2 linked regions of the Caenorhabditis elegans genome follow. The protein of the gene in region 2 purifies or fractionates together with the protein of the main gene of each other region. This does not show direct contact. Each region holds a gene or a part of one and is shown on either strand. Other genes may lie near its edges.

Region 1 (5,993 bases), on a different chromosome or scaffold from region 2:
ATACACTCCGGATGGAGGAGGAAAAAGGCAAGACGAGGCACATCGAAAACAGAAAATTCAGATATTCCAACACAATAATTATATCATTACACATCTCGTAATATATGCACCGCCCGCCTCAAGATACCTCATCCATTAATGAACCTATTTAGAAATCCTATTAAGCTTTCCCTGCTTGCTTACCTCCTGGGTGTCCACTGTGACAGATTTCTCAATTCATGTTTTAATTTCTCTTTGTACTGAATTATAATTTTAATGTTTCAAGTTTTAATAATAACTTTGGTCTGCTTTTCGAAATGATAATTAATGTTTACTTTTAGTTTTTCAAAAATTCCAACTTGCTTTTTCTAGACTTTTCAAGAGAAATTTATTTTTTTGTAAAACGGTATATTTGCCGTTTGCACATCACACCTTTTGCCGGGAGCAGTACGGAGCCCACATTCTCATAATTTCATTAGTTAATGAAAATGTGGCAAATGGTAATTTGATCCTAACAGGAAAAGCGACCCCTTGGAGTGAGAGAGAGAGAGAAATTGAAAGACAAAGGTGAAAGGGCAGGAAAACAAGGAAAAATAATGTGTACCCCCTCCCCTTTTAAGCCCGCTTGCCCCCCCCCCCCCCCCCCGTCATTTTCGGTGGTTGGCAAAAGTCGCCATCTTTTAACACATTAACTAATTGAATATGTTGATCGCCATTCGGTTCTCGGTAGATTTTCTTATTTTCCAGGCAAAGGGAAAATCGAATTAGTCTAATTCATTGTCATAGCATGGTTTCCGTTTTGTGATCTTTTCACTGACAAGATTTGATAAGAAGTTCACTTTTTTTCTGTATTGGCGGTAAACATGAAAGTTGAGTAGATCTTATCAAATTAGACAATCAAAACCTCTAAATTCCATTAATATCAATCTGAACTGTTTTTCTTTTTTATTTATTCCAACTGTCGTAGAGATGTGTTTTCGAAATCCGCTTATCTGATTTGATTTCGACTTTTTAGTATCCCATCATCGTGATCTGTAAAATCTAGGAATATCTAATTTTAGACAGTGATTTTTTGGCATATATATAAAATCCTACTCATCATTTGTTTAAGGATTGAGGACATAAAAAGAGACAGAGGATATTGGGATAAACTAGCACTTAAGATTCAAAAATTTTGGAATTTGTGCGTTGTGCGTAAATGAAGAATTAGAATGCCTCACCATTCAAAATAACACTCACATTTTGTTAATTCGGCAAGCCATGTTGCCAAATCCTTTCGCCCACAATCAAATTATCTTCTTAAAATTCTATATTTGTCAGGTAGATCATCTCGAAATAAACCAGATAAACGCATCACTTTTTGGCTCTTCCCTTTTTTCCTAACATCATGTATTTTTACAAGGAAATATCAAAATACCGGGCTCAATCATCAGGCGATTTTGGGCGTGGACTTTTATTTGAACTAAGCTTTCTGTCTACTTTGATGAGTTCCAAGCTTCTTCTTGTAAAATTGAATTCATTTACTCATCATAGTAAAAATATTAATTTTTCTGAATGCAAATAAGTCCATGATTCAATTAGCTGACTTTACTTCTACACATCATATTATTCTCTAGCATTATCTTCATGTTGATTTGTCTTTTTTATTCGTTTCGTTTTATTCGTTTGATCATTTCTCATTGTTATTTTCAACATAAAGCTATACATTTTTTCCAGCTGTTTTCGCTTCCTTCTTTCAACTTTGGTAAATCGTTTCAACTTGGATTCACATTGTGTATGCCCGAGTTGAAGAAAGAAGACTCTTCCAAAGACGAGAAAGATCTAGACATGAACTGCCCGCCACTTCACAGGCCCAATGGAGCTGATTTGAATCAGTATTCAAAAAGTCTTATGGAACAGTTACAGGTAGCGTTGTTAAATATTTTTAAATTTTAACACGTCGTTTTTAGGCACAATTGTTTGCAAATCCAGCGTTACAGTTCCCATCATTTCCACCAGCTTTTTCTATTGCGGCGCTGACTAATAATCAGCATGAGCTGAAAGAAGACGATGGAAAGAAAACGCCCACTGGAGGTAAGATATTATTTTTTAATTTAATTTAATAAAATATATTCGTAAGTTTTCAGATAATATTTTAGAAGCTGCCTCAGTACTTGACAATAGAGAAAACGGATCCCCTTCAGATGGCACAAACAGTCCGGATGATAATGGAAAGAGGAAACAAAGAAGATACCGTACAACATTCAGTGCATTTCAGTTGGACGAGCTTGAGAAGGTGTTTGCCAGGACTCACTATCCAGATGTGTTCACTCGGTAAGAATGAGTTACTAATTAAATATGAAAATTTCACTTTCCTTCCCTTCTCCCTGAATTTGGAAACAGTTGTGTTGCGTTCTTACACCATATGGCACTAATTATCAATTTCAAACATTATAATGATCGAGGTCAAGTTCAGCATATTTCACCTTTTTTACCTTCTACATTTAACATTTCTTTTACAAATCCAATTTGAAATGAAAATGAAAAATGAAGTGGTGAAGAGGTGGGGAGGACAGGAAAAAGGCGAAACTCATAATGAAGCAATCATGCAAAATGCACAATATCAAGTGTCGCGTTGCGTGTGTTTGCGCACAGACGCTTTAATTGAAGAAGCACAAACTCATTTGCTCAATATTAGAGAGGGCCATTTAGTTTTACGAGGGTCGCATAATTTCTAGAACCAAGGGACTAGATTTTTATAAAATTAGATTAATTAAACAAACAATGTAGCGAGTAGAAATGTAATCTGTTGTTTTGGTAAAAGTTGGAAAGTATTATTTTGCTATTCAACTTTGAGCAGGCAACCAAATGCTTAATTTATTAATTTTTCAAACTCTGAAGGTTGCAAAGTATATACTGTTGGAGCTAGATCTTTGGAAAAAATCTGATTTTCATAGAAAAATTAGCGAATCCTAGACATTCTCACCTGTGATGATCTTATCGTGATCCTATCTTACTAACAAGAATTAACAGGAATTAAGACGTGGGTAGGTGTCTTGTGTAGGAAGAGCGTGACCACCTGTTCCGTTCATCAATTAGATATTGCACGGATTAATTACTGACTTTTGCCTCTTAAGCCATGCGTTTACCCAAAAACAATGCGTGATCAATTGACGCAGTGCCGAAAGAAGTACCAAGGTCCGGTCTCAATTCAGATCTAATTGAGCAATGACAATTGCTCCGGCGTGGTGCTACCATTCAAGAACCCCTCTTACTAGATTCCCCCTTCCTTTTAAAACCGCTTTCAAGTGCTTAATTACACCGAAAATCTTTTGCAGGGAAGAATTGGCAACACGAGTCCAGCTCACAGAGGCCCGAGTTCAAGTAAGTTACAGTAGGATTTCATCTCGAGATCTCTTCGCCCAAATTCATTTGATAATGCATAACGAATTATAAATGCGCCAATAGTGGGGCACATTGAAAAGGCAGTATTGGTCCCATCATGTGGTGGTGTTGGAATGACGCGACGAGATTGTGTAGATTGAATATATCACGAATGAGTACTTATACCCAGCGAATGAAAAAATTAGTTAAGCACGCGATGTTATCTAAATTGCTTCACGCGATTGCTTGCTAATCTCTTTTTTCTAATAGATCATCGTCACCTTGCTTTTAAATAAGGTAACGAGGGGGGACCAACACATTGGCGTTAATAGCTCATCTGCTCGGTTCATATTACAGTTATAATAAAATTAATGTCGATCTAATGCGATAAGTGGTATCTATTGTTAGGTAAGATACATGTTAGATTAAATCTAACCAATATAAAAATTGTTTTGTGACTTTTGAAACATTATTTAATCAATCAATAAAAAAATTATCATTGGGACTTGTATATCACAGTTAAACAGTAAGACGACCATTCGCATGTAAGAAAGTTAAACAAAGCAAATTCCGATGCATCATCTTTTAGAATATTTGTTTCAAGAATTAAGTAGTAAGAAAAACAAGCTTACAATTTAAATATTCTTGCGTAGTGAATCGTTTCCCAGCGTCATCTTCATCGTTATGTTTTTCAGGTTTGGTTTCAAAACAGACGAGCCAAGTATCGCAAACAAGAACGCAGCAGTACTCATCACCCTTATCAAGCTCCAATGAGTATTCCAAATTCAAATGGAGATAATCCGTACCAGATGATGCTCAGCCAAGAAGCTATTTTTGCAGCTATCAATCAGCAAGCCGCGGCTCATCTTTTAAGTAAGTTTTTTACTGTTATATACCAAATTGATAGTTCTTCATGCCTAGCGCAAGTTACTGCAACTATAAAATTTCAGATGAACAAGTACGGATTGCAACATCTGATCGTCGGTCTCAGTCCCCGTCTGTACCAGTGACCACATCTTCTCCAATCTTGCCAACTTCTGTGACACCTACGTTCCAAAACGCAGATGCATTAAATATGTTGTTCGGTGGAATTACTCCTGTTACGCAGCAGTTGCTTTATGTTCAACAATTCAGCAGAGCTATGGATGCTTTCCGCACTCAGCTTCTGGGATCAGTCCCAGCAGGAGCTACGGCTGAAGTCACCGATGTTGTAGCATTAAAAACTGAAGACTCGAAATCGAATAGTAGAGCGGGAAGCTCATCACCCACTCCAACTGAAAGTTCCGGAGCTGCTGCAACATCCACGAGTCCTACGAATTTTGCTGACATGAATAGTCTGATATCCGATGTGAAGCCAAAAGAAGAAAGTTCATGAGTAAACACAATTAAAAAAATTTCACTACAAAAATTAGAAATTCTCCTCTTTATTTGCATTTAATAGATTGCCTGGTCCAAAAAGTTATTCAACAAAATTTGCAATACACCTAACGTTTCATATGTGTGATTCCCGTCCTATATATTTTGAATATTCAAGATTTTGAAATGTTTTCCAAGTTTCCTTTCACAGTCCAAACACCCATATTCTCCTGACCGCCAATGTTCTCGATTACCTCGAAATGTAGGCATTAAAATGGTTTTCGGCTTTACTATACTCCAGCTTTTATTAGTTTGTGTCGTTGTTATACCGAAGTTAGCCGGTGAGCTCTTCGCCTTATTCAAATCCTCAACCTCCCCTTTTCAATGACAATTAGAATTCCTTGACTCAAATTGAAATCGGATCTCCATTTTCTCCACTCATCGTGACGTTTTGTTTTAAACTTACCTTTGTATTTTGTTTTCAACATTTCCTAATAATCCTTTGTCAAATCTATGTAGTTTGGGAAGCACTGTTCATAGATTATTTAATCAACGCTCGTGTTATACACTGAACAACAACCTCTTTTTTCTAAACTCGCCTCTTTAATTGTTAACTGAATCCAAAACACCAAAGGCCTCCCCTCTCCAAAATCTGTACTTTTGATTTGCATATAATATATATATATATTCACTGCACTTTTTCTTTCAAGATTTTTATTGGATTTTAATAAATTTAGTAAAATAACCTCTGGTACACTATAAAAATGAATCCTTCGAAGATCACAGTATAGTATTATTATTTTAAATAAATCGTAAAATGCAATTATGATAGATAGATAATACAAAATTAAACTTTTTTTCGGTAATTGTGTGATAACTGTACCCAAAATAGTATTCAATATTTTCCAGAAATAAAACGTAAATCCTTTCTGTATTGTAGGCTTAGAAAAAAATCGTTCATAAGCGTGAAATAAAAATACCAATAAAACACGTATGTTGACTATTATGGAAATTCCTCCATTTCGAACATTTTGGAGTACAACAACTACACAAGTATCGTTTTTCTTTTCTAGAGGCGTTTTCTTTTCCAGAGACTCATTCTGCTCACGATTGATAATTTCATCACGAAACGTCTTGAATGATACTCGAAAGTATTATTTGACTATTCAAAATTTGAAAAAGCATCTAAATTTATTTTTATATTTTTAATGTTATGGCTTGCCCGTTTTTTGTCAGCTATATTGGGACGATTAAAACAATCAACCTAAAAAAGTTTTCCTTCATTCAAATTTCGA
Region 2 (4,991 bases):
GTGACGCAATTCTTCACCGCCTTACCCCTTTTTTGTGCACTTGAAGCAGACTACTCAACTGATTTTGTATGGTTAAGAACGTGCTGACGTCACATATCTTTGGGCAAAAAATTCCCGCATTTTTTGTAGATCAACCGTGATGAGACAGTCTGGCACCACGTGAACAATCCGTTAAGAATAATCTTGCGCGTCAAATCTAACGTATTGTGTGCTTGAGATACACACCTGGAAAAAAGTTCAAACACGGTCTCAATGAACGATATATCCTACGCGCAAAAATATTTTTCACTTACTAGGTCAGGCCTGCATTGATCGTGGCACGCATCAAAAATAAGGACCAAATCGAAGGAATCCGTCCAAATTTCTGGCATTTTTCCAGCGTCGCATTGTATAAATTCGAGATTGTTGAAAGCCGCTCCTGATTTAGTTTTTCGTTGTTTCGCCTGCCGAATGGCATCTTCTCCAATTTCTAGCCCGACAAAATGTGCTTTTGGGTATTGCTCGGCGAGCAACGAAGAATGGGATCCACCACCACACCCGACGTCCAGAACCCGCATTCCACCGGTTTCAAGCTTCTCGACAACTCCGTGACCGATGTCCGGAAGCATATCAGTTATCACATGCTTCTCGTGAAGTGCCTGACTCATTTTTCCCATAAAATATTGAAATTTTGAGATCTCCGAATAATCGAGACCGTACGGCCCATCCTTTTTGAAGCATTCAATGAGTTTTTCAAATGGTTCCAGAAGAGTTGGCGTGGAGCCAATCATCACTAGTGCAAGACTATTGGTTAGCAGGTCCTGAAGAAAATTTATATAAATTTGTAAGATAATGTGGGTACAATTTAAAAACCTTCACATTCTCCACGTGAATCCAAAACTGTTCCTTCTCATTAACCTCAATGATTCCTCCACAAGCCATGCAGTTACACCATTCTCGAATATACATTTGGAAAAATATTATGTCGGAACTATAGGCGGCAGGTAGGCAGGCATAGAAAAATGTACAAACCTCTCTTTGCAACCGGCAGCGTTGGCAAGATGCTCCGGGAGCACTGGGCTTGCTTCACTTGAAATTTCAGACAAAATTTTGAACAAGTCTAGGCGTAGGCCAACGTTAATAGCATTCGAGACCACATTGCTTACTGCTAGGTTCTGAAATATAGTAGTGCTTTCATGCGCTATGCCTTCATGCATAGAAGGCAGCCTACGCCTGCCTGGTGCCTACTGCCAAACATACGAAAACCCCTTAATTTCACCACAAACTACAAGCAGGTTAGGCGCGGTAATTAGAGGCAAATCAACTCACGAATAGTTTTTCTTTCATTTTAGACGAAGAAGACATTTTTTGAAAAATTCGTAACCAGAAAAGTTTATTTTTGAAACTGCAATGTCTTTTCGTGATCTATAATTTTTTCTGCGATTCCCTCACATTGTCGGGGTCTCCGCAACTAATCAATCTCTAGCAAATGACCACCGTACGTGACTCTAGTCAATTGCGACAGCAGATCGTGCGGTCAAATGATCAAAAATTGGAAAAGGTCAGAATTTTGAGTGATGTCACAAAAAACATATTTTCGGCAAAGTTTGAAGGTTAAAAATTGTTTGTTGATTGAATTTTTTGCAAATTTTTTAACATTTAAATATATGTACATACTTTTAAATCGTAAAACTTGGCACATCCTACCTTCCACCTTCCACCTTCATCTACCTTCAGATCGTGCCGAGACCCACTCGAAAAGCATCATGTGCCTTTAAACAGATACGTTACATTTTTGCGGAATTACAATACTAGAACATAAAGATGTTCTGTTATAATAAAAGCTACAATAATTTGCATCATAGATCACTTTCTCAACCTACAAATGACAATAATCACGTACATCCTCCAGCCTGCTATAACTGTCTTTTTCTGGCGATAAAGAGCATTCGAAAAGGGTGTTGTATAACAGATCTCATCTTTTTTACACTTTGCGTCTCTTCACACTACACAACACGTGGACAACGGTATATAAATAGTCTCGATTTTCCAATTTTGTGTATGTTCAATTGATCACTATGTCGCAACAACAAACCTGTTCTACCTCAATGAAGGAGAAATTATTTGTGAGTTCTATTAATTTTTGAATTAACGATTAGAAATTTGTATATAGGTGTGCATATTTTGCAGAACCTCGCCGTCAGCAATGTAATCTCGAATGCCATTAACATTGGGAATCGCCTAAACTTGTTCAAAACTTTGGCTGATATTTCCAGCGAAAAGGGGCCAGTGCTCCCGGAGCAACTTGCCGAAGCGGCAGGCTGCAAAGAGAGGTTTTTGAGATTTTTTAAAGAGTTTCTCGAAAAATTGAAATTCTCTAGGTACATTCGAGAATGGTGTAATTGCATGGCCTGTGGGCAGATTATTGAAGTGAACGAGGAGGAGAAGTTTTGGATCGCCGCCGAAAATGTTCAGGTAATTATTTGCGTTTTTAAAATTTTTTAAAAATTTTTTCGGAAGGGTTTTTGAGCCTAAAATAAGGTTCATTGGTGTTTGCACAATAACTACAAACTCACGTGGTGTCAGATTGTTCCATTACGCTTTGATCTACAAAAAATGCGGGAATTTTTTGCCCAAAAAAGTATGAGGTCAGCACGTTCTTAACCATGTAAAATCAGTTGAGAACTCTGAGTGTCCTTTTCCGCATTTTTTGTTGATCTACGTAGATCAAGCCGAAATGAAACACTCTAACACCACGTGCAAACTATTATGTAATAACAGCGGGGCAAGTGAAACTTTTTTGAAACTACAGTAATCCTAATCAGGGGTAGGCCGCGAACGATTTTTCCGGAATTGCCGGAATTGAAATTTCCGGCAAACGGCAAACCGGCAAAATTCCGATTCGCCGATTTTGCCTGAAAAACGCCAATTGCCGGAAATTTTTGGCAAATTGTGGTCTTGCACATTTTTTTCTGGAAATTTTAGAATTACAATTTTAATCGGCAAAATTGTACGTATCCTACTAATTTTCCTAGATCTATTTGGAAAAGTAGGCAAATTATATGAAAATATCGAAAGAAAACGGGAAATTTGTTCGCCAAATCGGCAAACCGGCAAATTGCCGGAAATGAAAATGTTCGACAATTCGGCAAGTTATCAGAACTGAAAATATTCGGAAAATTGGCAAACCGGCAATTTGCCGAACTTATCGATAAAAAAAATTGCCGAACGGCAGTTGCCACCTACCCCTCATCCTAATGTATTCCTATAGTATCCCTACAGTAACCCTACAGTAACCCTCACCAAATGTATTTCCAAATGACAGCAACATATGTTTTCTGAAACTACAGTAATCGTGAGGTACTCATACAGTATTCCTACAGTAGCCACAATCCAACATCCCATCAAAAGCCCATTTTTTCCAAAACTATAGTAATCCTACAGTAACCATTGTATCATTCCAGGAGCTCTCCAATTCAAGCTTCGAAGCCGTGATGAACGGAATGATGGCCACCTTGTTGGAGCCTCTCGACGAGCTCATCGACTGCTTCAGGAAAGACGGGCCACTTGGCCTGGAGTACGCGCAATTCACAAAATTCCAATATTTCATGGGAACTATGAGCCAGGCACTTCATGAGAAGCATGTGGTAGCAGATATGCTTCCGGACATCGGCAACGGAGTCGTCGAGAAGCTTGAAGCCGGCGGAGTACGAGTCCTGGACGTCGGGTGCGGCGGTGGATTCCATTCTTCGCTGCTCGCCGAGCAATACCCAAAGTCGCATTTTGTCGGGCTAGACATTGGAGAAGATGCCATCCGGCAGGCGAAACAACGCAAGACTAAATCAGGAGCGGCTTTCAACAATCTCGAATTTATTGAATGTGACGCCGGAAAAATGCCAGAAATCTGGACGGACTCCTTCGATTTGGTGCTTATTTTTGATGCATGCCACGATCAGCGGAGACCAGATTTGGTACTGAAAATCTTAAATTTTCTAAAAAGATATTTTATAATTTTCAGTGCGTCCAAGAAATCCACCGAGTTCTCAAGCCAAGCGGGATGTTCGCTATGGTAGAGGTGCTCGGCTCCAGTAACGTATACACCGATAAAGCCGCCATGGGCCCATTGGCTGCAATGATGTACGGGTGCTCCATGTTCCATTGTCTCCCTGTCGGAAGTAACTGCCCAGATGCTCTGTGTTATGGTGCAATGTGGGGGCAGAAACGTGCTACCGACCTGCTTAAAAAATGCGGATTCCCTGATGTGAAGGTTATTGATACCCCATATTTCCCTATTAATGTGATGTATTGTGCCCAGAAAAATTAGGGTACTATTGAAGCCTTTTAATATTTTAAGTCCGCACAAGACCTACTAAATTAATTTTGTTTAATTTTTGTTTGAAATAATTAAACTCTTTCATGGCTGGCTGGGGAATACAATTTATTTTAAATTTCCAAAAATTCTCAATCTTATGTCAGTTAAATACATTTAGAGACCCAAATATTTCTTCGCAATTCCCATCGCCTCATCGTCACTTGAAAAAGTCAATTGTGAAACTTCATTGAGCACATCCGAGTACAGCTCCGTGGTGCTGAAAATTTAAGTTTCGATTAAAAAAAACTACACTATAAACTCACAAGTATCTCTCTGCAAAGCTGTTCACAGTGGTCACAATCAATTTTCCCTTGTTCTCGGGGCGACTAGCCAGCTCCACGGCAGCGACGACGTTGGCTCCGGACGAGATTCCACCGAGAATTGCCTCCTCGTCGGCGAGTCGCCGCGCCATTTGCATCGCATCGTCAGACTTGATGCGCAAAATTTCCGTGAACAACGAGCGATCGACGTTTCCTGGCACAATGCCGGCACCGATTCCTAGAAGTTTATAATGATAAGAAATGAGTGATAACGAAATGTTAGCACTTTCAGACTCCCTCATATTATGAACTGGCAGAGTTTCAGCGAGATGGTTCTGAACCTCGACCGCAGCCGTGACTTTTAATCATTCTTACACGTA

What was found.
Region 1: the proteins of rips-1 (region 2) and alr-1 fractionate together in Caenorhabditis elegans (co-fractionation; one large-scale study listed by BioGRID). This does not show direct contact.

The regions. Positions count from the first base shown.
Region 1 is NC_003284.9:11,121,321-11,127,313, reverse strand, and holds alr-1 (Homeobox ARX homolog alr-1), read left to right. Parts: upstream 1-1,693; 5' UTR 1,694-1,755; coding exon 1,756-1,884; intron 1,885-1,928; coding exon 1,929-2,052; intron 2,053-2,105; coding exon 2,106-2,292; intron 2,293-2,370; exon of another isoform or gene 2,371-2,663; intron 2,664-3,096; exon of another isoform or gene 3,097-3,243; intron 3,244-3,296; coding exon 3,297-3,342; intron 3,343-4,037; coding exon 4,038-4,215; intron 4,216-4,292; coding exon 4,293-4,717; 3' UTR 4,718-5,443; downstream 5,444-5,993. UniProt on the Caenorhabditis elegans protein: Transcription factor. Involved in activating or repressing transcription of genes in neurons. Regulates expression of nuclear hormone receptor odr-7 and LIM homeodomain protein lin-11 in AWA and ASG chemosensory neurons.
Region 2 is NC_003283.11:3,770,132-3,775,122, forward strand, and holds rips-1 (Methyltransferase domain-containing protein), read left to right. Parts: upstream 1-1,889; 5' UTR 1,890-2,057; coding exon 2,058-2,105; intron 2,106-2,169; coding exon 2,170-2,312; intron 2,313-2,360; coding exon 2,361-2,454; intron 2,455-3,443; coding exon 3,444-3,950; intron 3,951-3,997; coding exon 3,998-4,303; 3' UTR 4,304-4,465; downstream 4,466-4,991. Other genes in the region: R08E5.1 (Methyltransferase domain-containing protein), read right to left, coding at 294-800, 853-970, 1,012-1,154, 1,309-1,344; cysl-3 (Cysteine synthase 3), read right to left, coding at 4,466-4,568, 4,615-4,849.